Linked DNA regions of Drosophila melanogaster. The gene in region 3 interacts genetically with the main gene of each other region. Each region holds a gene or a part of one and is shown on either strand. Other genes may lie near its edges.

Evidence for each region. Genes that interact genetically often act in the same process or in processes that back each other up.
Region 1: of Gyc76C (region 3) and kermit, changing one enhances a phenotype caused by changing the other (phenotypic enhancement), as found in Drosophila melanogaster (one study listed by BioGRID).
Region 2: of Gyc76C (region 3) and trol, changing one suppresses a phenotype caused by changing the other (phenotypic suppression), as found in Drosophila melanogaster (one study listed by BioGRID).

What each region holds. Positions count from the first base shown.
Region 1 is NT_033778.4:8,152,509-8,160,227, forward strand, and holds the start of kermit (kermit), read right to left. Parts: upstream 4,147-7,719; 5' UTR 3,906-4,146; exon of another isoform or gene 3,547-3,905; intron 1-3,546. Other genes in the region: CG8708 (uncharacterized protein), read right to left, coding at 7,059-7,493, 7,547-7,719.
Region 2 is NC_004354.4:2,541,282-2,549,168, reverse strand, and holds the start of trol (terribly reduced optic lobes), read left to right. Parts: upstream 1-3,741; 5' UTR 3,742-3,786; intron 3,787-4,260; exon of another isoform or gene 4,261-4,406; 5' UTR 4,407-4,545; coding exon 4,546-4,704; intron 4,705-7,887.
Region 3 is NT_037436.4:19,789,041-19,796,920, reverse strand, and holds the start of Gyc76C (guanylyl cyclase at 76C), read left to right. Parts: upstream 1-3,351; 5' UTR 3,352-3,493; intron 3,494-5,310; exon of another isoform or gene 5,311-5,473; intron 5,474-5,879; exon of another isoform or gene 5,880-6,037; intron 6,038-6,666; 5' UTR 6,667-6,957; intron 6,958-7,880. Other genes in the region: SREBP (sterol regulatory element binding protein), read right to left, coding at 1-468, 529-2,011. UniProt on the Drosophila melanogaster protein: Guanylate cyclase involved in the production of the second messenger cGMP.

The DNA.
Region 1 (7,719 bases), on a different chromosome or scaffold from region 3:
GCATAGGTTAAACATATTCAAACTGAAATTTCAGTTTAAAGCTGTTCGTTTTATTAATCCAGTTTAAACTTTATTGTTGTCCGTTTGGTTAAGAAAAATGCAAAATTTATAATATAATTATAAAATGAATATGTAATAATATCTGGCGTATTCGAAGAGAGATTTACTTTCCCCATTTCTATTGATTTCCAGTGGAACAGCCATCAGTTTTGACATTCATATATTATGTATACTAATATAAATCACTTAAGTTTTGCCTTTATATTTATGACATTTTAATCAGTGTTGTAGGTAATAATCGCTTATTCGAGCTTGAAACCTTAGAAAGACAATATATAAAAATATCTCCCTGTGTCGTGATGCTAATGCATAAATAAACAGTGACATCGAGCGGTTAGTCTAAATTACAAACAAACCGAAGATTGTAGTTGGCGAACGAAGACCCGACCCACTGCTAATATAAACAAGTATCCAATTTGCTATTTCCACAGATAATTCAGATGGACTGTGGGCGAAGCGAAAGCTTAAATGTCGCTTCGCCCTGCCCAATTATATGTTGGTATTATTTATGCACTGTTTTTGTGGCATTTTCCGATCACGTTTTCTGCGATTCCTGTGTTTCTCACTACATTATTCATAAATTGCTGACATTTTGCATTTGGCATGGTCCCGAACCAGAGTCGTTGCTCCACGATTCGATGATCCAGTGCAATGAACTCGCAGCCCTGGCTGAAACATATCGAATGGCCCTTTATGGGGCATATTCCACAAAAACTACTAATGTGGAGCACTCAAAACACCCGGGCACCGACATTAGGGTCTAGTTAGCATAATGCACAGCCAAACAACAATGAGCACCACACGCAACGTCAAGTATGTATATACATATGTATCTAAGTATCTACGTATGGCGAAGGGAAAACATTGGGGCAGTTTTGAAAACATTTAACCGTTTCACCTCGCTGAACTGCGAGCTCGAAAAAGCAAATTAAGCAAACGAATTATAGCCGAAAAGCCGTGGCAATGTTTGTTTTGGGCCAAGTTTACGCCGCCCGACAATCTAAACTCAAATATGAATTTTATCTCTTTGTAACGTTTCTCCAAAATATGTTAATCCGAAGGCTGTATTGTTTTCATCAGTTCACAAATTACGGGTGATGAAATCGGAGCGGAAATTCGGGATAATTAAAACTGGAAGTGGCAAAAAAAAACAATAATTGTAGATATATGTACATAAGCGCCAGTTTTTGTATCTGATAAACAATAAAATCCGATCTTTCTATTACTTCTGATTGTAGGCAAAGACAAGTATTTAGTGTGCAAAAAGATTGATCGCTGTGCCCAATCATGTATTAATGATATGAAACGACTGAGGAACTGTGGATAATTAAAGCGGAGTAGAAACATCACGCAGATGGAAAACATGCAGATTCATTCACACCAGTTCCGAGTACATCTGATACTGATTGCAAAAACGTTAGTGCAGTAATATTGCACATGTGCGGCAATGAGTGCGCATAAAAAGCGCAAAGTACGGCCATAAAAAGCACAGTTAAACTGATTGCCAACTGTTGGCATGACGGAGCAGCCCGTGGCAGCCCTAGCTACCAGACCAGACCAGACCCACGATTCTTCAACCCATTATTCCCAGCCACCGCTCATCCCGCTCGGACCATGCCGCTCCAGCTTTTCATAAAGCGCCCCGTCGCATTGAAATGTCACGCAAGCAATTTACATAAATGGAGTTGCTTCCGCTTGGTGAGCTGGAGAACGGAGAGCGCGGAGCGGACACAGTGCATCGCATCCAGGCAGAAGAGGAAGCTATCTTGTGTATCTGACGGGGAGTATCTGCCTATCCGAGCGCTGCTCACGTACGAAAACAACTGTTAGCAAGTGGCGAATGGGCGGGTAAAAGGCAACAGCCGATAGCGGCGGAGCGGAAGCGGACGAAGGAATCGAATCGATCAAACAATTTCCGAGCTGCTCGTCTGCCGAAAATACACAGCGAGAAATATGCCAGAAATCATAACTCGTTAAACCTAGAGATACTTATCTGCCTCAGTTAAGTTCAACTTTGCTAGTTTCTTATCTAAGATTATAAGAGCAGATCGAAGATCTTCAAAGAAACACTTGTTTATTGCTCTGTATGAGCTTTAAGCTAGAGCATCTTCGATGGGTTTCCCACTGACCAACTTCACGGTTAGTTAACACCTTAATTTGCCTACAAATTGCTCAAGTTTGGAGTTTTGAGTTTCTTTGGTCATGGTTGCGTCTTTCGTTGCCCCTTTCTTTTCGGCGGCCAGCTGAGAAGTGCTTGGCCAGATGAAAACTGAGGAACGGAAAACTCAGTGCGTAGACCCACGTGCTGGCCGCATTAACTTCACAGTTTTGTAAGAGGGAAAACGGAAAAGCGGTAATAAATGCCCCGATGTGCGTGCTGGCTGCAAAACTGAAAAGGCGCTTTATTATCGCCACTTCGGCGAGGCATTTTGTAATGTCTAGGCTGGAAAAATCAATTCGGCCGTGAAACTTCAACGAAAACGAAAAGCATGCTGTTTGCACCCCCGAAGTGCAGCATATTTTTGCGACGACGCACAGAAGCCGGCACCCTGGGAAATCACATGGATTTGGAAAGTCCTAACCTCAACATAATAGCGGAAAATGAACTAGCGACTTGGGGCAGGCAATGGCCACAAAGCACGGAAATGCCCCTTTCAGCGTTTCAGTTTTCGGGGTGAGTTTCGGTCTATGAAATCACTTCCGCTTACGCTTTTTTCCTCTGACATACAGACAGTGGGTGTGGTGCCGAAACACTTGTCACGCCACAAAACCAATGATTAGCCGCCCAGCAGCTGCAAAAATCGATAAGGTCCGTGGGTCAACAGCGTTTTGGCCTGTCTTGCCGGTTTTAAATGCATCCAAGTTTTTAAAAATGCCTGGCTGAAAGTAAAACAACTTGAACCACGAATCTTTTCTTTCGTCTCATCAAATGTTGTTTATCGATATTATTATTTTATCGATCGCCTTTGATTTCCTTCAATTTCTACCCCGGTAACACCACCTTCCCCTGCACTACAGTCTGCTTTAGTTAACTAGTAATCCCAGCTTGGAAATTGAAATTCCTTGTTTTTTTGTGACGCATTGCCTGTTGCCAGGCGGTTGCATGTTGATTTGGCCCACCCTCCTCCTCTCACCACACGTCCTGATGACTAAGAACGATTTCGCTTTCCTCGCTGCCGAAGCGAAATTCAATACAAAAGATGGGAAAACGCGTGCCGCCGCCTTTCACTTTACTTGTTCGTCGGTTGGCGCAGAAAAGAGTCTGTTAGGCAAATGAATGGGCAACCGACTGAATGGATGCCAAAGATGCTCCACCACCGGGGCGGGGTGTTAACAATTCCCGAAAGACAATGCAGTGTGTTGTTACGGAGCATATATAGTATGCATAGTTATAGTATATACATAGAAGATACCACGCACCAGAGAGAGAGAGAAACCCGATCAGACCAATATAATGTCGAAAGTGACGGACGGTACGGAACGCACCTGCTAGGCGATGGGCGCTGTGCTGATGACGCGCTGCTGCAATTGCATATGTATATCAATTTGTTGATAATGATAGTGGTGGCTATGGCCCGGTTTTAGGTATCGCCGATTTCCAGACTTCCAGATCGTGGGCCCGAGGAAAGCGCCGCTAATGAGCGAGGAAAGCGGACTTCTTCGTACCGGACCAGTTGGATGTCGTCGTCGTCGCCTCGCACACTCGAAACAATTTGTTCTTCTTTTGCCCACCAACACGTTATTGAATCTCTTTCACTGCCAGCTAACTGGTTTTTTCAGTGCTCCGCCACTGCTCGCCAAATACACACACATTGACCACTTTCCAGGGTTCTCTTTTCACTCACTCTCGTGCTTTGATGTCGCGATTTTACCGATCTACCGCCTGGGCGTTCAAATTGAATTTCAACCACGACGTCGTCGCACAATTCCGCTAATTAAACTAGTCGTCTCGGTTAACTAACGCCCGGAAAATTGTGGCCGCGCTGCGCTCGAAAATTCGGACCTCGCGCTGTAGAAATGCAAGAATAACAACAACTGCGCCAGCTGAGCGCCAGCTGAGCGCCAGTGTGGCCAGCCACTCTGTTCGCGGTGGGGAAACATCGATGCCGCCATCGATGCTGACAATCGGCCTATTGAGTACTTGTGGCTTAACATTTTCGGTGAGTTTGAAATTTTGGCGGTTAAGGTGCACTTACCAGATTTAAAGGAACTTAAGTTTTCGTGACAAGTTTGTATAGCATTGACTAGCCTCCACTATTTTGGTTAAGAAAATATAAAACCAGCAACAATAAGACTAATTGTAGACGGATAAAAAATTAAAATCTTAATAAGGTCACTGTAATGAAAATGAAGAAATGAAATGAACACAAGAACAAATCAAACAAATGTGCTTATTTCCTGGGGTAAATATCTCATACTGCATTTGACTAATGATATATATTATACTTTCAATCAGCAGAATGGTAGTCTAAGAGAAAAAACTCTTGCACCCAATATTATGACATTCCTCGACCAAAAAATAACAATTTAGTTGATAAATATTTATACCCAAGACTTAAGCTTCAATTTAAAAATAATTTAACCTGAAGTTCAGCAGGTGGTTAAAATCGACTCCGTTTGATAATTTAATTTCATAAATACATATATTTGATACAATATATGTAATTACATTAGCTAAGTTTGGTGATTTAAAGCAACATGTATCTCATTTTATAGGACGAAATTCTTGGGTGGATAGGAATACAGTTCCTAAGCGGTTCCACCGAGTTGCTTGGAAAGTTGCGATCAATCCACTTCCTGAACATGGACACATTTTTGAAGGTCGAGGAAACGTTTGGCCTGCCGCAATCGACGCCCCAGGCCACGATCCCGACCTGGTGATATCTAGCGAAGATTGCGTCAGGGGAACAAACCAAGATGGACCCACCGTCACCAACGCAGACATCCTTGTCCTTCTGTCCGCTGACACATATGAGACTGGTGGCAAGCTGAAACCTGGTTTTCCTCAACATATTCTGGCAATCTCCTTTGTTTACTATGGGTAACTCGATTTGCTTTTGTATACTCGACATTTGAGAGTCGTTAAAAGAACGCTTTCCCCATCCGGAAATCACACAGTGTGTCTGCTCAATGGACGACCCTTGAAGAGGTAAGCAGATGGGCTGTATGTCATTTTTAAATGCAAATGTAGACTCCAGGTATAGACAACAACAGGTGGGCTGCCGTTAGTACAACCTCAGGGGCAATCAGGGAACCTCCTCCAAAGAACGAGGACAGGGACGGATTCTCCATCTGGTGTAGTAGGGGTAGAATGGATACAAGCTGCGTACAAACTCTGTGAACCTGTAGTGCACTTACTTGAGCTCTTATTTCACTTACTTGAGCCCTTATTTCACAACACACTTAAGTGGGTCCACAGAATACATTAGTCGGTCGATGCCAATCGCCGGTTTGGTGCACTCCCATCGTTGGCCAAACATCGTTTTGGATAATAACAGGCGTGGCCACAAACCAACCAGCTCAGGAGAAGCACTCCTATGGTCTAGTGGCACTCCATTGTCCGATTCAGAAGACTACTTGCCGAAGACTGATATTGCAATAAGTGGTCTCAGCAGGCTTTCTTATTACATTTCTTTTTTGCTGATAAGAATAAAAAAACATGCAACACGCTTTCCAAGAAATTGAAAATTGTAATCGAATTGTTTTATATTTTATATTCACACATATTTCTATTTGTTTATAACCCAATAGGCTGGAATACAAAAAGGTAATCAGTATATACATAGATAACATCCACTTTATTCGGACTTTAAATAAGTAGCGATATGAGTGTTTAGAGAAGCACCCCCAATCCAAATTGATAACCCAGAACGCCGCTCTCACGAAGGCCCATTAGCTCAGTTGGTTAGAGCGTCGTGCTAATAACGCGAAGGTCGCGGGTTCGATCCCCTCATGGGCCACTCTTCATTTTTTGCTTTTAGCCGGATAACTAGCCAAGTCGATCTAGGCATTCCAGTCTTCCTCACTTATCATCTAATCGATGTAGACGCCCGTTCACGTAGTGACGAAGCGCACCCTGAGAGCGTACGAAAGTACTCAGTGAGCATTCAGAACACAGTTTTCTAAAAAACAAATGTATAGAGACATCAATGTGCTCATTTAGCTAATGGGCATTATTATTGGTCTCATGTCAGGAATAGATCTTTAATCGCATTCAAATTGCATATCATTTCGACCAAAGATGTCTTATTAATACGAAATTCAGTAATCGCAAGATAGAAACTTACGCCCGAAGGTGCAAAAAGGTCAAAAGGTGCAATAGGCCATTTTGCTGCGAACTATACAAATGAAATATAATTTAATAATATAATTATTGGAAATATATTAGTTTACTAATTGATTACGAAATCCATTTTCCTTGAAACTCAATGTACAAAATGCAAGCATAATATAATTATTATAAATAGAATATTAGTTTTATTATGTTACAGTTTAATAATCATTCATATTGCATTAAAACACAATCCTATGTTTTGAAACATAAATCCCCTCAAAATATTTGCTTTCTACGTACTGATCCTAAAAATGTAACTCATAATCACGTATACGCAATGTTGTCTTGTATGTGCGTGCAGTGCAGTTTTAATGTTTAAAATTAGTTATTTATTAAAATGCAACTTCCGAAAAAGCATATCCATGTGGTGACTGGAATCTCCTACGAATCCAAAGGATCAGTTTAGGATTTTAAAATTCCGAGCCTTTGGCTAATCGATTATCTCCCAACTTAGCATGGAATTGAATCAACTAATTTTTTTAAAGAACTGACATCTGACCATTCCCATTACTGCATTTACTTTATCTTTATTATGATGTATTTGAAAATAGTCCTTCTAAAATAATAATCTAAGAAAATTTTTATTAAAATGTATAAACCGGATGAGCGGCGTAGACTCAGAAACAGCTCAGTTCCAAAGCCTGCCAAGTAAACTCAATAAATTTTAATTTTCTTTCGATGTTTCCTTGGACTTGGAACGCTTTTCCGTTTCCTCCTCAGTATACTCCGAATCATTGTCAGTTTTTCGCGAGTCTTCGCGTTCCTCGTCCTCCTTTGAAAGCTTTTCCCTGTATTTGGCATCCTCTTTTTCCACCTCCTTGGAGTCCATTTCCCGAGCATCGGGCTCCTTTGGCTTTTCGGTCGTGGTCGTATAGATCCTGTCGTAATCATCGGCGGAATCCTCGTTACTGGCCAGGCGCCCCCTGGCCTCCACGGGAGGCGGCAGAAACTGACCCACTTTGAGTTTGGCGGGCAGAGGCTCCAGGGATCGCAGTAGGCCGTAGGGTTTCAAGTGGTAGATGAGATAGTCCAGGACATAGAAGGAATTCGGAGCTACGTAGTGAAAGGAGATGGCCAAGTCCGAGCAGCAGTCGAGACCCTGTCGGAACACAAGATGTTAAGAATACCTATCCCTTATCAGGCGAAACTTACGTCATCCGTCTTGTAGTAAAGGTAGTTCCAGTACCAAAAGTTTTTATCCGCCTTGGCTGGGATCAAGTGATGCTCCGGTATGAAGGGAAACATGCGACCGCGACCGATTTCGTCCCTGGAATCGCCGGCGGTGACGTTCAGGTTCTCCATGCATCGCCCGATTTCGATGTCCT
Region 2 (7,887 bases), on a different chromosome or scaffold from region 3:
AGCCGTGCAGATAAATTAATTAATTAAGTAGTGCCGCCTTTGATGGCAAATCCGACGTCTTCTATGGTTTTTTATTAGATCAGACTGCGACGAGCGGATCAGGGATCGGGATTATGTCCATCTCAAGAGACAGGTGGCAAGTAGAACGGTGGGTGGAATGACCATGAACTTCCTCATGGAAGATTTTGTCCCAAATCATTTCCAGACGACGTTTAATTGTCGAATTGACCCAACCCCTCATGGAACCTGACTACTTGTGTTATCTGCAAATCCTCCTCTCCTAGGCTTTCAACTTTCGCCGCCGACCTTTTGGCAGTCTTGTTGCGACTTTCTGCCCGCCCCCAAAAAATTCGCACAGAAGGAGATCAATTTAATTAATGCGAAATGCGAATTGAAACCGAAATTAAATTTCAATGCCACAATGTACTCTCAGATGCGTATTGATGAGCGGCTGGCTCAATTAAGCTAAAAGCTTCGACCAAAAAGGGCTTGCCAAAAACTGAGTGAAAGCCGGCCAAACAATTAGCAACTGCCTTGGTAACTCAACAGACGAGCCCGGTGAGACCTTTTCCGCAGCAGGACACACACACACACACACACCATCCACACGCAGACTGCCCGGCAATTGCACAACAATCGGTTTGAAATTATGGACATGGGATGCTGCCTCCCAGATGCTAACCAGCTCCTTTCCCACACCACTAACACCGAAGGTTGGTTCCATCCATCTTATGCAAACTGCAGTTTTCAACTTGTTACCTGCCACTTGTTGGGCTTTACGGGGGAACAGAACTGTTCGTTGGGTTTTCGCGTAACCGACTTTCCTTGAAATTCGATTTAAACGTACATTGTACATATATCTATGTGTACGGCAGTCGATTTTGCGAGTTGGGAAGCTTGTTGATTGGCAAAGATAGCTTCGCACTGTCCTAGAACTTGGGCTGGAATGTCAGCTGCAGGTGCGCAAGAAACACAAAAAAAAAAAAAATAAATAAATAAGTAAAATAAAATAAACTATACACACTTATGGTTTCATAGTTTTTACACATACGTAATTCTGCTAGCAATCATTTACGAGTCACTAGATGTTAGATTTTCCTGAATGGCAGCGTTCTTCTTTTGAACAATGGAAACCTTGGAATATCGCTCATACGCCATGTTGAACACAACTTGACCTGTTACACTGGGCGTATGAGTTATATTTTTTGCAAACTTTACCCCAATAAGCTGTTTCGCTGTGTATTTCCTGTTCAATTGTAGAAAATAATTAAACAGGCGTAAAGGCTATTTTTACCGGATGCAAAAATAGAAAGCAGCTCTGTGGCTTGAAATCATTCATGGCAACAATTAGTTTTCAATTACAAAATATCGTCCTCGTCTAATTCACTAGCACATTTTACCCAGGCCTTTACGTATGCAAAAGTAAACAAGTTGCCATTGCGAAACACGTGACTGGGCCAGAAAATGGGAAAGGCGAGTATTTAGTGTGAAAGTCGAAAGTCGGTAACGGAAACCAAAAATGTGCTCGGAAAATGTAAAAGTGAGTGCAAAAAACGAGGGCGGAATGTAAATGGGACAGGGATATCTTCATTGTTGTCAAAAGGATATATGGACAAATGGAAAATAACCCTTAAATCTATTATTAAGCACTTCAAAAAAATGTCATTTTCTGGATTGTCCGTGTGGCCACATTTGACAACCAATTTGACAAGTAGATGAGATCCTGTAAGTCACCTATTTCATAAACTCTTAATGTGTGATTAAATTGAAACAGCTTGTTCTTTAATAATTGAATTTTATTCAGTTAAAAACTTATACTTTTGGTGGCAAACGCTTTAGGAAAGCTTTTTTGTTGACTTGGCTAAAAGCTTTTGTGCAATGGCTCTCAAACTGTAGCTAGCTTTCGATTGCAAATGTGGCTAACAGAATCGTGTACTCACCACTCGACGACTGTGGTGAGTTCGGTAAATTAAAAATATTTTTTTTTTTTTTTTGTTTTTTGGTTTTTCTCACCGTTGATAACCTTTATAGGTTACGGACTTAGGTTGATAATTCTAATTGTTTCAGCACTTGCTCCAATTTTGATGTGATAACATTTGACTCCCTAAATTGAATGAAATGCTCGAGAGTGCACACATGTCTAAATATTAAATGATTTGAGCAGTTGAAAAAACAAGTGCTACGAAAGTCGAACAGATGTCATTGCTTTTCAATTGAAGAAAATATGTTCAAGAATCGCACTGCGACCAATAAAACATTGAAATGAATTTGTGCACAATTTTACTAAAATTTATAATGTTATCTTATCACTAATTTATAAACTTAACACCTAGGCAAAGCTCAATATTAAGCACGTATTTGTGTATTTGGTGTCTATCTAGCTAATTTCTCCAAGTGTATACAGACCATTGCCATTATTTTCAATAGCGTATTCAACAATTTTCTGCGTGTATTTTTAGTACCTTTTCTTATCTGCGAACGGAAGCTGTGGCCACTTGTGAGCGTTCACCATTTAAATATTAAATATATTTTACATTAGCAAAGGCGAAAAAGGGGAGGAACAGGGAAACGAACCTGAGGAATGGGCCAATTATTCCAGGAGATGGGGCCCTAAAAAATCGCAACGTGTCCATTGGTCCTCCATGTGGGGCGTCGGCATCCAAGTCCGGTAATTCACCCTCACGCATGCGTCATTTTCGGATGTCATTGGGTCAGGCGCCAATGGGAAGCCGCCTTTTTGGTGGTGTTGACAGGGGGGGGGGGGGTGGTGGCTAAATCGGCTGAAGGTCACGGATTGTGGCCGGTCCTATGGCCAGTTGACAAACCGACTTAACCGCCAAAGCCGACGAGCCCGAAATGCTAATATCACATGGATGTCCGTCCTGCCAAACTTGTATTGTGTTGAATATTTAAAATAGTGCTTTGCATCAATTTTAGACCGATGACTGCACATTTAAGATGATTTGCTCACATGGTTGTATGTATGTTTTAGGTGCGCCAAGAATTAATTGTCCATAAACACTAATATTCGTAGGAACAGCGAGTAAAGGCTATAAAGTTCGTGTTTCAAATACGTTTTCACTGGTGTTTGGCTTTCCTACGCGAATTGCATCAGCATTTTATTGGACTCTCCTTTTTTTTTGAGTGTCAAATTCAAAGAACTTCAATAAAAAAATGTGCGAGGAGAGCGCCGCTTTTCGTGGGAGTGAGTGGGATAATTTGCAAACCGGCTGCCGCAGCAACAACGAAAGGTGAAAAGAGAGCAAGGAGCAACGGTTTTCACTTGTTTATCAGTTGACCCAGAGAGCGAGAGCCACTTGGGCGGGTGTTGAGTAAAAAAAAATGGGGGAGGGGGGGCTTACTATCCAACTAAAGTGATAGTTACTTTTTTTTTTCTATCGTTACGGCCTTAAATGCTGCTTTAGCCGACTGGCTAAATCGCGACTACGCTCCGCAAATAAGGATGGACAGGCAGAGCGAGAGGAGAGAGAGCAGGCGCAGCTAACTCTGCGTAAGCGGACACCCACGCATGTGAGCGAGAGAGGGATAGAGGGAGAGGGTAAGGGAGAGAGAGAGTGCGGTGCATCGACGCAACAGGCTTGCAATGGCCATTAAGCGCCGTTAAACAATAACAAGAGCACGCAAATCGCTTCGGCTCCGTCGCGCTTTCGGCCTTCGTGCGTCTTCGGGCGACGCCGGCAGAGCAGAGGCAGCGATGGGAATCGCAGCAACGGTTCTTAGACATTAGGTTGCGCGCCATCGTTCCAGGCGGTCGCACATTCCACGGTGTGCTGTCCCTTTGTTTTCTGTGTGACTCTGACTCTCTTGTGGGGAGCGTTTGTCTTTTTTTTTTTTTGAGTGCTCTCACATCCTCGAAGTGCCGAAATTTTGAAAATCCCCGACAAGATATCCTGGTGATATCGGTTCAACGTTTAAACAAAAACCCAAGCCCTGCTCCTTTTTTTTCATTCATTAACTAGTGTGATCCCAAAAAGGAACCCATACTCGCAACGAATACGAATAGTGTCCATCGCGTGTGAAACGAAACTAAAGAATAAGGAATGAAACAAGAAAATAAAGCGAAAAGGCGGAAAAGCGAACAGAAAGAGGGGAAACAAATATCGGCTCGTCCAGGAGCGAACAGATGATCAAAGGGGATCATTCGGATTTTTCGAAGAAACTTCTGAAACATGACGGTTTCTCTGGTTTTTAATTCGGATTTGGTTTCACCAAAGCCAAAAAATTTTGCTGATGTCAAATCACCGATTTGCTTCCCCTTTTTCCGTGCGCGGAGAAAAAAATCCCCAGAAACATAATATCAGGATGCTCTCTATCTCTGTCTCTGTCTAACGCTTAATTGTTGCTCAATTGCGAATTAATGTCTGGGGCTTTTTTTCTCCGTGCAGTGCCATAGCCGTAACCACAACCTGCCAGCCGTTTAAAGCCAAACTAAACAAAACGAACCGAAACTGCCTTCACAAAGTACCTAAGCCAAACCTAAATAGCTGCCAAAAGAAACCAAAACCGCCGTTACCCGGAAAAGAGATGATGGGATCGCCGGGATCCCAAGCGTCCGCGATCGCGACCTCGGTCGGAATCAGAAGCGGGCGGAGAGGTCAAGCGGGAGGATCGTTGCTCCTGCGCCTCCTTGCCGTGACCTTCGTCCTCGCCGCCTGCCACGCACCGCTGCTGACCAATGCCAAGGTGAGTTCGACCCTCTTGTTGGGATATGTAGTATTATAATTATTACATTGCTATTTGAGGCCCAGGAATGCAGTTAACAATTTGATTAGTTCTATTCGGTGACATGATCCTAACAGCCGCTTACCATTCACATGACCATTGCCCATCAGCTGATGCACATCCCATTCGAGATCGGTAACCCAATGATCTCTTATTCCGGATGACACAACTCTGGGTTCCGCGACGAACTTGAACTATTTAGCATGACACACATACGAGTATTGTTTTTTTTTCCCAATAGGCGGGACAGACAGACACAAAACGAGCGCCACCAGTGATTAGCATAAAAATGTATTTATTGTAAGTGGTTTGGAAAATAGTTTTCCTCCACTCGCCATCAAATTAGGAAGTTGAGCCGGGCTTCGAGGCTTCAGGGTTTCGGAGCTCGGTTACGGACAATGTTAAGGACCGGATTTCGAGTTGAGCAGAGGCCAAAAAAATAGATCACCAAGTCCATTGGGCCGGGGTCATCATCGCAGGTTATCACTCTCTCGAAAAAACAGACGCTGAATTAATTTCTTTTCACAAATTCGGATCGAGTTCAGATGCTGGCTTTTGAATTTGATGCGATTGTGTTCGGATGGCTTTGCCAATTATTATGAGAAGTCGATTGTTTCAGTTCCAAATTCTATCTTTGTGCCTGAAGGAGGGAGGGGTCGCTGTGTGTGTGTGTGCGAGTGTGTGTGTGTATGTTTTCCACCATAATGAGCTTTGATGATAGCGCGTTATCAGCGTGTTAATGACATGTTGCCCACAGACATTTGCTTGCAATGAAATAATTTCTTTAATTAACATTTAAAATCACTGAACGTTTGTGAATGTTTCAATGGCTTTTGTGAACGGACGGCAGTACCTGCTGGACAATTCTGGTACTCTGCTTGATTTTGTCGAGCATGTCGTTTCCATTCGATTTGTTTTGCTGCAGCGCTCACACTTTTTATCACATCGGAAGTTGCGTAAATGAGGCCAAATTCGAACACATGTACACATACATACATACGGGGGCTATGTCGCCTGCTCAGGGCTTATCGGTGGGACTGGGACTGGGAGTGGGACGGGAATGGGAGCCACACTTTGAAGAAGGAACCACTGCAAATCGGACTGCAAACGAGGTCACTGCTGCAGCACGATAGCTCCATCCTCCGCTTTTGCCCATCCGGCGTATGCGTATTGCCGGTCATCGGACATTGCGCATACGATCAGGTGGCACGGTGCCCCTTGGGGCATTCGATATCGTTTATCTTGGGTTTTATTCGTTTTTAAATTGATAGCTGAACTTGACTGAAAAGCACATATGCTAGCTATCAATAATCAGTTTAAACACCATACGTTATGTCACCATTCCTTTCTTTTTGGCAAACTGTGCAACTCGCCACTGATTCCATAGTGTTTCTTGAAAGTCTGAAGCGCAAAGTACAACTCACTGCATATGGCAACTTCTGATGCTTCAAACTGATATTCGCCTGGCAAGCGAATTGTGCTGCTCTGTTTACATCGACAGATGGGTCCTCATTCGATGGCCCTTTTCCGGCTTTCCAAGGGTATCCGATCCCTCACCCCCCACCCTTCTTGGCCCTTGGCTTGTATATCGCTCATCACATCACGCCCCGTTGTGTGCCCCGATATCTGTCAAACAAACTGTCAAAATATTTGCATCATCAACAACACAACTGCAAAGCGAATAAGAAAAAAAAAAAAAAAAAAATTAAAGCACAAAACGGCAGCCAACAGATGAGAAAATATCATTTCGCAGCTTTTTTGACTCGCCCGTATCGTTTTGGTTTCTTTTTCAGCTTTTCGGATTATGTTTTCTTTGTTTTTCATTGGTCTGAAGATGCGTTCGTTGGCACATTCCCTTCGGTTTTCAGTTCTCCTTGTTTTTCGGTTTTCTGGTTTTCTTGTTTCCGTGGCTTCACGGTTTCTGTTTGTTTGTGCAACATATGGACACAAGATGTTGTACCCCCGATCACACATGTGACCGGCTGCTTGGCTGCCTGGCTGTTTGTGTATCTGCCTCATTCTGCTGGCCTTATTGAATCGCTGGGAAATGGCCTTTAAGTTGAAAAGGCGTGGATCAGTTGATTTCAATATAAGCTAATACCTTCAATCAAGTTTCACTTGCCGAATAAAATGTTTTTTTTTTTTTTTTTTTGCAAGTAAAATATGTAACATTTGTATATAGCCCAACCTCTTTTCCTGTGTACCGAAAACATTCGCACAGCGATCACATGCAGTTTCACGGGAAGCGTCATGCGAGCATTTGTTTAAATATTACGCTGGGGCTGTCTAATACACCAACCCACCAACCCTACACCCCCCCTCACCCACTTGAGCTCAAGTTCAGACATTGACCAAGGGGCGGGGACTCGATAAGGAGGCGGGGCCGCGGGGGCAGAGACAACTGGCACACTTAAAACTGTTTATGCGAGATGTGCGAGGTGCGAGGTGCGAGTGAAGTGTCTGGCTCGCTTTTCCCTTCCTATTTGTGGAACTGTATATGAAACGCTGATTGGCGATATCGCCGAGTGTTGGCTTTGTCAAATTGGCATTGCCAGATGCCAGGCTTCCATTGCCATTAGTCACTGGGGCAGCCGCATTTGACCTGGTCGGGAGGGATCCTTAGATGCCCAGACCGGGCGATTCATTTCTGCGGATCCGGAATCTATTTTCCCTGGCTGACGTATGCATTTCTGTAAGGAAAGAACTGGTGGAATCTGGGAGTCAATGGGGAGAGGCAAGGCTATGAGGCAAGCATTTAAAAATAGATGGCGACAAGATACCAGAGACGAAAGTTTTCGATTCGAGGCGGAGCATTAAAGTTGGGAACTCGGAGTGGCTAAATCGGCCAATACCCTATAATGCAACGCGACAAAATGATGCATCGCAACACGTAGATAAGCCGAATTTTCTTGTCTTGTGAAATGCAATTAGAACGTGTTTTTTATTGCACATGTGGAATTGATTACTAATTGAAAATCAACACCTATTCTGTTGTGATACACCTGATACACCAACTGATGTTCTTTAGAGTTCATTCCACCCTCGAATATTTCGCCACAAAAATGCGAACAGGGATCCGCTGAGGTATTTGCCTCATAGACTAAACATTGAAAAATAACTCCAAAGTGTAGGGTAAACCAATTT
Region 3 (7,880 bases):
CCATCATAATGCCGTTCATGTCACCGCGGCTTCCATTTCCAGTCAGTTGCAATTGATTCAGTCGGTTGAAGAGCAGGGCCAGTTCGCGTGCAGATGCCAGCGCCTGTTTCCTGCTGGCGGCGTTGCTAAACAGCCCACCGGACCGCCGTGACAGCACCCGACCCAGCCAGAGGCGATGGAAAAGAAAACGAAGGAACTGCCACGTGGTCTGCAAGTAACACTCCAAGCGCGACGCCGGTAGACTTAATCCAAACATATGCAGACAGTTGAGGTAACCGGCGTAGGCCTGAGACGACTGTCCTTGGCTAAAATAGAAGTCAGCCCGCTGCCTGTGCTGGCAGTAGGCGTCCGTTTGCGCGTCCAGCTGCGGATCACCGTAAACCAGCAATTTCACCAAGCATCCAAGCATCAGTGTGAAGTTCAATAGCCATATCCAGGAACTCTGCTGCCAGACAGCAAAACCTTCACCTAAATCAAGGAGAAACCCATTAGCAATATTTAACAACATCTGGATGCTAGGCTAGCTACCTTCCACGTCGTAAGAGAGAATGCGTCTTTGACCGCTCATGTCGCCAAGATCGTCATTACTGTCATAGTGGCCGCGCTGGAGAAAGGTCTTGAAGGGATTGACGGCCAGGATGGCGAACATAAACATGCAGAGTCCGAGGCGAGAGTGGGTGGCCATGCCGCGCATAGAGCTGGGCACCACCAGTGGTTCTTCATTGCTGCTGCTGCTGCCACTGCTACAGCTGGCGGTGGATCCACCATAGGGTGATGGCGGCAACGAGATGTCCGAGTGCATGGGCGAGAGCGAAGGATCCGATTCATCGCTGCGTGGCGGCGTCAGTCCGGCATCCGTGGTAAAGGTCTGCGAGCTCTCGCGGCGCTTCTTGGATGCTCTACCAGGCCGAGTGCCCAGCTGAAGTAAATCCTTCACCTTGGAGCCGTCGCGTGCCATTAGCTCCCTCTGCAGGCGCTGCAACTCTGCCTTCAGATCGTGATTCTGGCGTTGCAGATCCCGAATCTTGTCTATGGATTTCCGCAACACTGCGGACTTGTTCAGCTTGGCCTGCTCTCCCACTACCAAGTTCTTCAACTCGTTAATCTTGTCGTTGATTGAGGTGCGATAGCGCCGCTCGATGGCGTTGTGGGCCGAGCGCTTTACTTCCTTCACCTTGGGTTGAACCCGGTTGATAGGTACCTTGCCCTGGACTTCCATAGCGGCAGGTGACGGAGCCAGTGGTGCCACTCGCACCTTGCTGGCCCGACTACCTGTGCTTGTCGGTGGTGGAGCCACAGGTGGAGATGGGGTTGGACTGGCTACCGTGGGCTGCAAGAGGAAGTACATGGCTTCATCGGAAGTCATTCCGGCCTTAGAGTTGTACGTAATGAAGGGTTGCGGATACGACTGCTGGGGCAAAGGAGCAGAAGCGGGAGCAGGAGTTGCAGCAACGGGCTGCATGACATTGACATTCTGGTTCGCAGACTCCACCGGCGACGTGGGCGGGGACATGGACTGGTAGACAAAGCTACTGCCCAGAGATGGGGGATACACCGCCGTGTTCGGCGGCATCCGCTGGGCGTCCATGTGATGTATGGTGGCTGTTGGTTGGGCGGCCTTCAAAAGGCCCGTCGGCTGTTGCTGGGGACAATTGTAGCTTGTGGCTATGAGGGGATCTGGTTTGTAGACGAGAAGCGGCGACTGTTGTTGCTGCTGATGCAGTTCCTCCTTGATGTGCACTGGCGAAGAGTGCTCGCTTTTCACGTGCGGCTGTTGCTCGACGGATTGCGGCTGCTGATCCACGGACTGCGTCTGCTGGGTATGCGTTCGAGGCTCGTCCAGCAGCATGTTGTACATCTGCGTCGGCGCCAGGTCCATGTCGTTGAGGATGATGTCCAGCATGTCCGAGTGCAGGTCGGCGTCGAACGGTTCGAAGACATCCTCCGCTTTGAACAAATCCATGGACTCGTCCAGCGGAGCGTCTATTAAGTTCATCAGTGTCGTGTCCATTGCGAATGCTGCTGATGAAAGGGACAAAAACGGTTCGTAATTAAATACTGGCGGGCCCACGTATGTGCATATTTATGTATGTATGTTTGTACATTTGAGGATTGTTTATTAAAGTTCTATGCGGCGCAATAACAACAGTGGGACAAGTATGTTGGTGCCGGAAAAAACAAATATTAATATGTTTATAATCACATTAATTCATTTAATTACCCTTTTTCCACAGTGGCCACTTGCAGCTTTAATAACAGATTAAAAGGGGTTTTTATAATTAAATTTGTAATATACGTAACAAAGTTAAAATAAATCTTTTAATTGTACTCAAACCTAAAGTGAATCACAGTCGGACCTGAAAATGGCATATGTGTTAACTTGTTTTTGTTTGTTTGTTGTTTGCTCGTAGTTAAAATAGGAACAAAATATAATATCTTGAGATCATTTTGGCTATATCAAGTTTTGCTAGACTAATGCAAATTGCAATAGAGGCGAATATTTTTAAACGGTCTAAGCTTTTACTTCGCTTTTGGCCCACTGTGCACTGCACACACACATACGCGACCGGGAAAGCATGCGTAAGCGCTTTCAACCAATCAGAGGGCTCGACCGGATCATACGATGTTTTTAGTGACGCCACTTGGCCTTTGGGAGCTCCAACAGGGCATTTTCCCAGGCTCCACTGGTTTCCCGATCTGATTTCCGCGAAAATTAATCTATTAGACACTATCTACATTATTAGCAGAAAAAGAAACGCACCTTTACCACCTTCTATCTGTTTTCTTAGTTCACGTGTGCTTTTGTTTTTCCATAACTGGTTAATGTCAACGCACTTTGCTTTAAACTAGCGACTAGTTAGTAATAGTTGCAACACTTGTTGTTCATGGTTGTTTTGATTTTTTTCACGAGTATATTTGCAGCTTAATAAACAATTGCTTTCGATTGCAGTAAACTTTGTTCTTCAGGGATGACGAGCAGTAGTTCGGGCCTAAGGAACTGGTTCAGGTCTTGACTCCCTGGCATCAAGAAACAGCTGTATTACTTACAATGCCTGTATAGAAATATATATATTTAATAGTTTATGATGTATTTTATAAAACTGCCATAAAATATCAACGCTGATTCTGACACGCAGAGTAAGGAAATAAATTCAACATGTATAAGTGTAATTTAAAATATGCGGTTGTCCTCGCTGAGCGTGGTGGATGTCACCGCTACCTACATTCAAGAGAATAATTAAGAGAGCGCCAGAGCCGTGTGACCGCGCTAGAATTACTTAAAAATACCAAGGAATGTTGAAGACAAAAAGTTCCGGTAAATTGGCACAACGCACTGGCCACACTGCTACATCACATATTCAAAATCGGGTAGGTAGTCGCGACGGAAAACGGGAAACGCGGACGAATCGCGGAGCCAGAGAAGCGGTAAATTCGAAATAACCGTTTGGAAAGAGCAACATGATGAGGTTCTTTATTCGTTTTTAGTAAAATGGTACAAAGTGAATATGTGATTTAATTGATAACCAGCATGGGCGCCGTCAGTGTTAATTGCGTTCTGAATTGCTCTTTCGAAAACGCAGACACAAATGCACACACACAAAGTAGCGGCACCCACACGATCGCAATGGCAAAAGTGCTGCAGTGATAAAACAAATGCACAGCCATAAAGGCAAAGTCGGAAAAGTTTCACAATGCACTGGCGGCCCATGCATAAAAATGTACAATTTGGCGCTCTTTGCACTTGTCACGTCGTTGGAAAAGCAAAAAAACCTACCAACCAACAACAATAGGAACATAAACTGAAACAAAAAGAAAACCATTTTTGCTTCGCGCTTTTGTTTTTGTTTGGACCGCCGCTCACGCACTTTCGCGCTCACACGCAGAAACTTTTTGCATTTGTTTTCTTCACCCGTTGCATTATCACAACAACTGATCTCCTCTGCCCTCTCTCTGATGCTCTTGCTCACACTTGTTCGCTCTGTCTCGCCAGGGTTGCCATTTTCGACCGACAAACTTGCACTTGCTACTATGAATAACCTTTAAAACGGTTTTATTTTGGCACAATCTTAGGATTTATTTACGATTTTTGCGATTTACCGCATTTGCTGTCTGCAACAGTTTACATTTTTGTTTACCTTTACGGTCGCCAATTGGAAATACTAACTGCAAATTTGGTTGCCTTAAGTGTAGGTGTATTGTTTTCAATATAGACGAAGCTTATTTATATCAAATGCCTATTATTTAAATTAAACTGAAAACATTCAACCAACGGTCATCAGGAAAAGTATCTTAAGAGGACTATTTCACTACTAAATCCTATTTTTTATATTTCTACTTCACCTTAGCTTATCAAAATCTTTATAAATCCGATTGTATGTATGATGCAGCATAATTTTATTATTCTCGGTAATATATGGATATGCTTCAAATCCAAATATACAGACTTTATTTATTCAATAAATTAGTTTAACCTAATGTTAAACTAAATATAAAATAACTAAAATTAGTTTAACCTAATGTTAAACTAAATATATTACCGAACGCTGTGATTATGACTCTGTTATTTACCAACTGTCTTGCAACTTGGAAATATTCCTGTATTAATCATTTCCTATTTTCCTTGATACAAAAGAGCCTTTATTTCACTGCAATATTGAGTCATCCAACAAGCTGTTGTTGTAGATTTGGTCCGATTTTTCTATTTCTTCTTCTGACTGTTCTCATACTCTCTGTGCTTCTGTTTCTCCGGCTTTCTGCATAAATTACATTTTCCGTTTGGACTTTGCCAGTTTTGCTAGTGTTAGCACCTCCTTGGCGAAAAGTTTCCAACGGAAATTGTCAGCAGAAAATGAAAAACTCCCATGTAAATACTCCGCAAACGCACACACGCACGAGCTCAGCGGAATACACACCAATACACACGCACACACTAGCAGCGGCAGCGCTTAATAAAGATTAACGCATTTCTTATCAAGCGGTGATAGCGGGCAAAGAAGATGGAGAGAGCCGAAGCGAGACAGAGCACTAGCACTGCGACAGCATTTGAGCTTCGCTTTTCGCACACCCGATAGAGCGGCATAGAGTGGGAAAGGGATGGAGACAGAAGGAGACAGTGATATCTTTTCTCTGCCTGATTAGCAGTAGCAGCGTCTAGTTTTTCTCGTGTTATTTATTTGTTTTCTGCTCTCCGCCGCCGCTCCCGTTGCCTCTCCCTCACAGCAGCCGCCTTCGAACGCCGACGCTGCCTGCTTTATTTTCGCGCCGCTGCTGATAAAATAAAGAACAATATTAATTTAAGTTTAAAAATAGAATTCGCTGCAGATGCCCATTGCATGAATGTGTGCGAGCGGGAGAACGAGAGAACTGATTTCGCTCTCCCGCTCTCTTACAGCACACACATGTTGATCCGCAGCGGCAGCGTCAATTACTGTTCTCATATCATCTCCGAGAGCACGGAAATCAGTGATGGCAAGTGAGAGGAGCAAATCTTTGGCGGATAGCAAAAACCGCTAAGTGTGTGGCAGTCAACGCTACTTTTCTTAGTATAGTACTTAGTTATACCTTTTATCGTGCAATTTTTAAATGAGGACTATGTTTTTCCAAAATGTATCTGCTCAATATAATTTGACTATTTATCTTTTAATCCATTTAAACCTAGTTTTAAAAATTTTAAAAAAGTGTTGATAATATATCTTGATGGATATCTTTCGGATATCCTACACTGAGCGAAACTAAAATTGTTTGATAAAGCGTCCTCATATGCCTACCTTAACACAGTGAAAAAAGCCAAAGTGCCATCTCTGGGAGCATGCGGTGTCGCTCGCCCGATTTTCGTTTGGGGCTTTCAGTATTATTCTATTCTCCTGCGCCCCAAGTTGTTTTTTCGGATCGGCAAAGCCGCGTGCGCCCCATCGCACTCTCGCACACACACATACGCACTCACAGAAAAAGATATTATGCATACATATGTATGTTTAATATATATATTTCTCTGATTGGATTGGGGCAAAAACAAAACCCAAAGAGTGCGAAAAAGGTGAAAAAAGTAAAAAGCCGAATAGAATTTCGAATAAAATCCAGTGCGGTTTGTGTTAATAATTATTATTGAATGAAAAACAAATTCCGACAAATGTGTTAACAAGAGTGTTCGCAGCCGCAGCGCCATAAATTTTACAACAATACGGGGAAAAAATCGAAAAAATAACGAAAACTGGAATTTGTGATAATTGTTTTTCGGGCCAGTCAGCGAGAGGGAGAGCAGTGCAAAGATAACAGATTTGTTTTGTTTCCCTGATAAGCCACTCTACTGATACAGCGGTGTAATTTTGGACACTCGAACCTTGTCATATTAACTTGCTTATTTGACTATAAATTCCGAAAATAATACTCAAACACTTAGAATTTGAACAGTTCGGCATTCGATTGTTCTTCCAGATTCTTCGCAGTAATCTTGTTCGCTCTTTGCGCTTTAAGAACCAGAACCCAATACAATGCATTTCTCTCTTCTTTTTGATTGCTCTTTAAGCGTGCATTGTTGTGAAATTTACCGCTACAAACATTAGTTAGTTATTCACTCTCTCCCACTAGCTCTCTGCCCATATGCAAACACAACAAAAACAACGCGAAATTTAAATGTATATTAACCACAATATTTCCCATCCGAAGAGAGAACGCGAGTAAATAGCAACCGGAATAACAAAAAGCACAAAGTGAACAATCGTTAAACAACCAAAAAGCAAGCCAATTAGAAAAATAAACACTGCACAAAAATCCAACAAAAAACAGGAGAATAGAAAGGAAAACGCCGTGATCGTGAAAAACAAAAAACTTTATCTAACTGTAAATCCAAACGCCAACGTGGGAGGCATCCGAAGCGAAAACATCGGATGAGCAGGCAGAAAAGAGAGGGAAGAACGATCTCTGGCAAAAGCTGATGACAAAACGAGCAGTCAACCTGTAAGTTAGCCTCATATCTTTGTCAAGAAAGATTATAACGATCTCGCGGAACTGAAATGACCAGTAAATATGTATATGCATACATATACATGTGTATATAGTTGTTAAATAAATTTCGAAACCACTAGAAACACAACTAAAATAGTTACACATTTTGTTTTAAAATGATCACATGATCATATTTTTTGGTTACCGCTGAAAAAGTTTACTTAATCTCCGGCAGTTTTGCTTTCAATTTATTTGCCAAAAACCAATACTTTTTGGTAATCCGTAATGCGAGCTATTTCCGATTTAAATAATTACCCCGATGCGTGTGTGGTGTCAGTGGGAAAGCCACTTGCATTGAAACCGAAACTCTTGGGTTACCTCAGCTGGGACCCAAGCTCCCCTTCAGATTTTCCCGCAATTTTCCTGCTTTTCCCATACCCCTAACGAATGAGAGAGTTCGATAAAAGTTGGCCACCAAAATGCCGGCAATGAACCGCAACAAGTTGGCTTTTCCCATCGTTGTTCTGTTAAAAGTCGGTGGGGAAGTGCTCAAATTGCTGATGTGGCTTCAGGCGTTTTCCCCCAGGCCTCTACGTACATACATAGCCTTCGGGGAGTCTTTTCTAAACAATTTCATTTGCGTTTTCTGGTCGAACTAAATTTTTATGGTGTGGAAAAGAAAAATTGAAATTGAGAAAAAATCAAATCTTGAACGTACTGCATTTTTTGGGTGTTTCGTTTGTTTACATTATTCTCGGTTTGCTAATGAAATTGAAATGTTCGATCTCTGAAAGCGTTCTATTAATAAAGATTGTGTATTTATAGGAAGGCGCTCGCTATTTGCACAGGAGTGTATGCGCTAGTGGGGTGGTGGGTGGGTCGTAATTGACAGCTTCCTCGAGACCTTACAGCATATTATTTTTGGCAACTGGCAG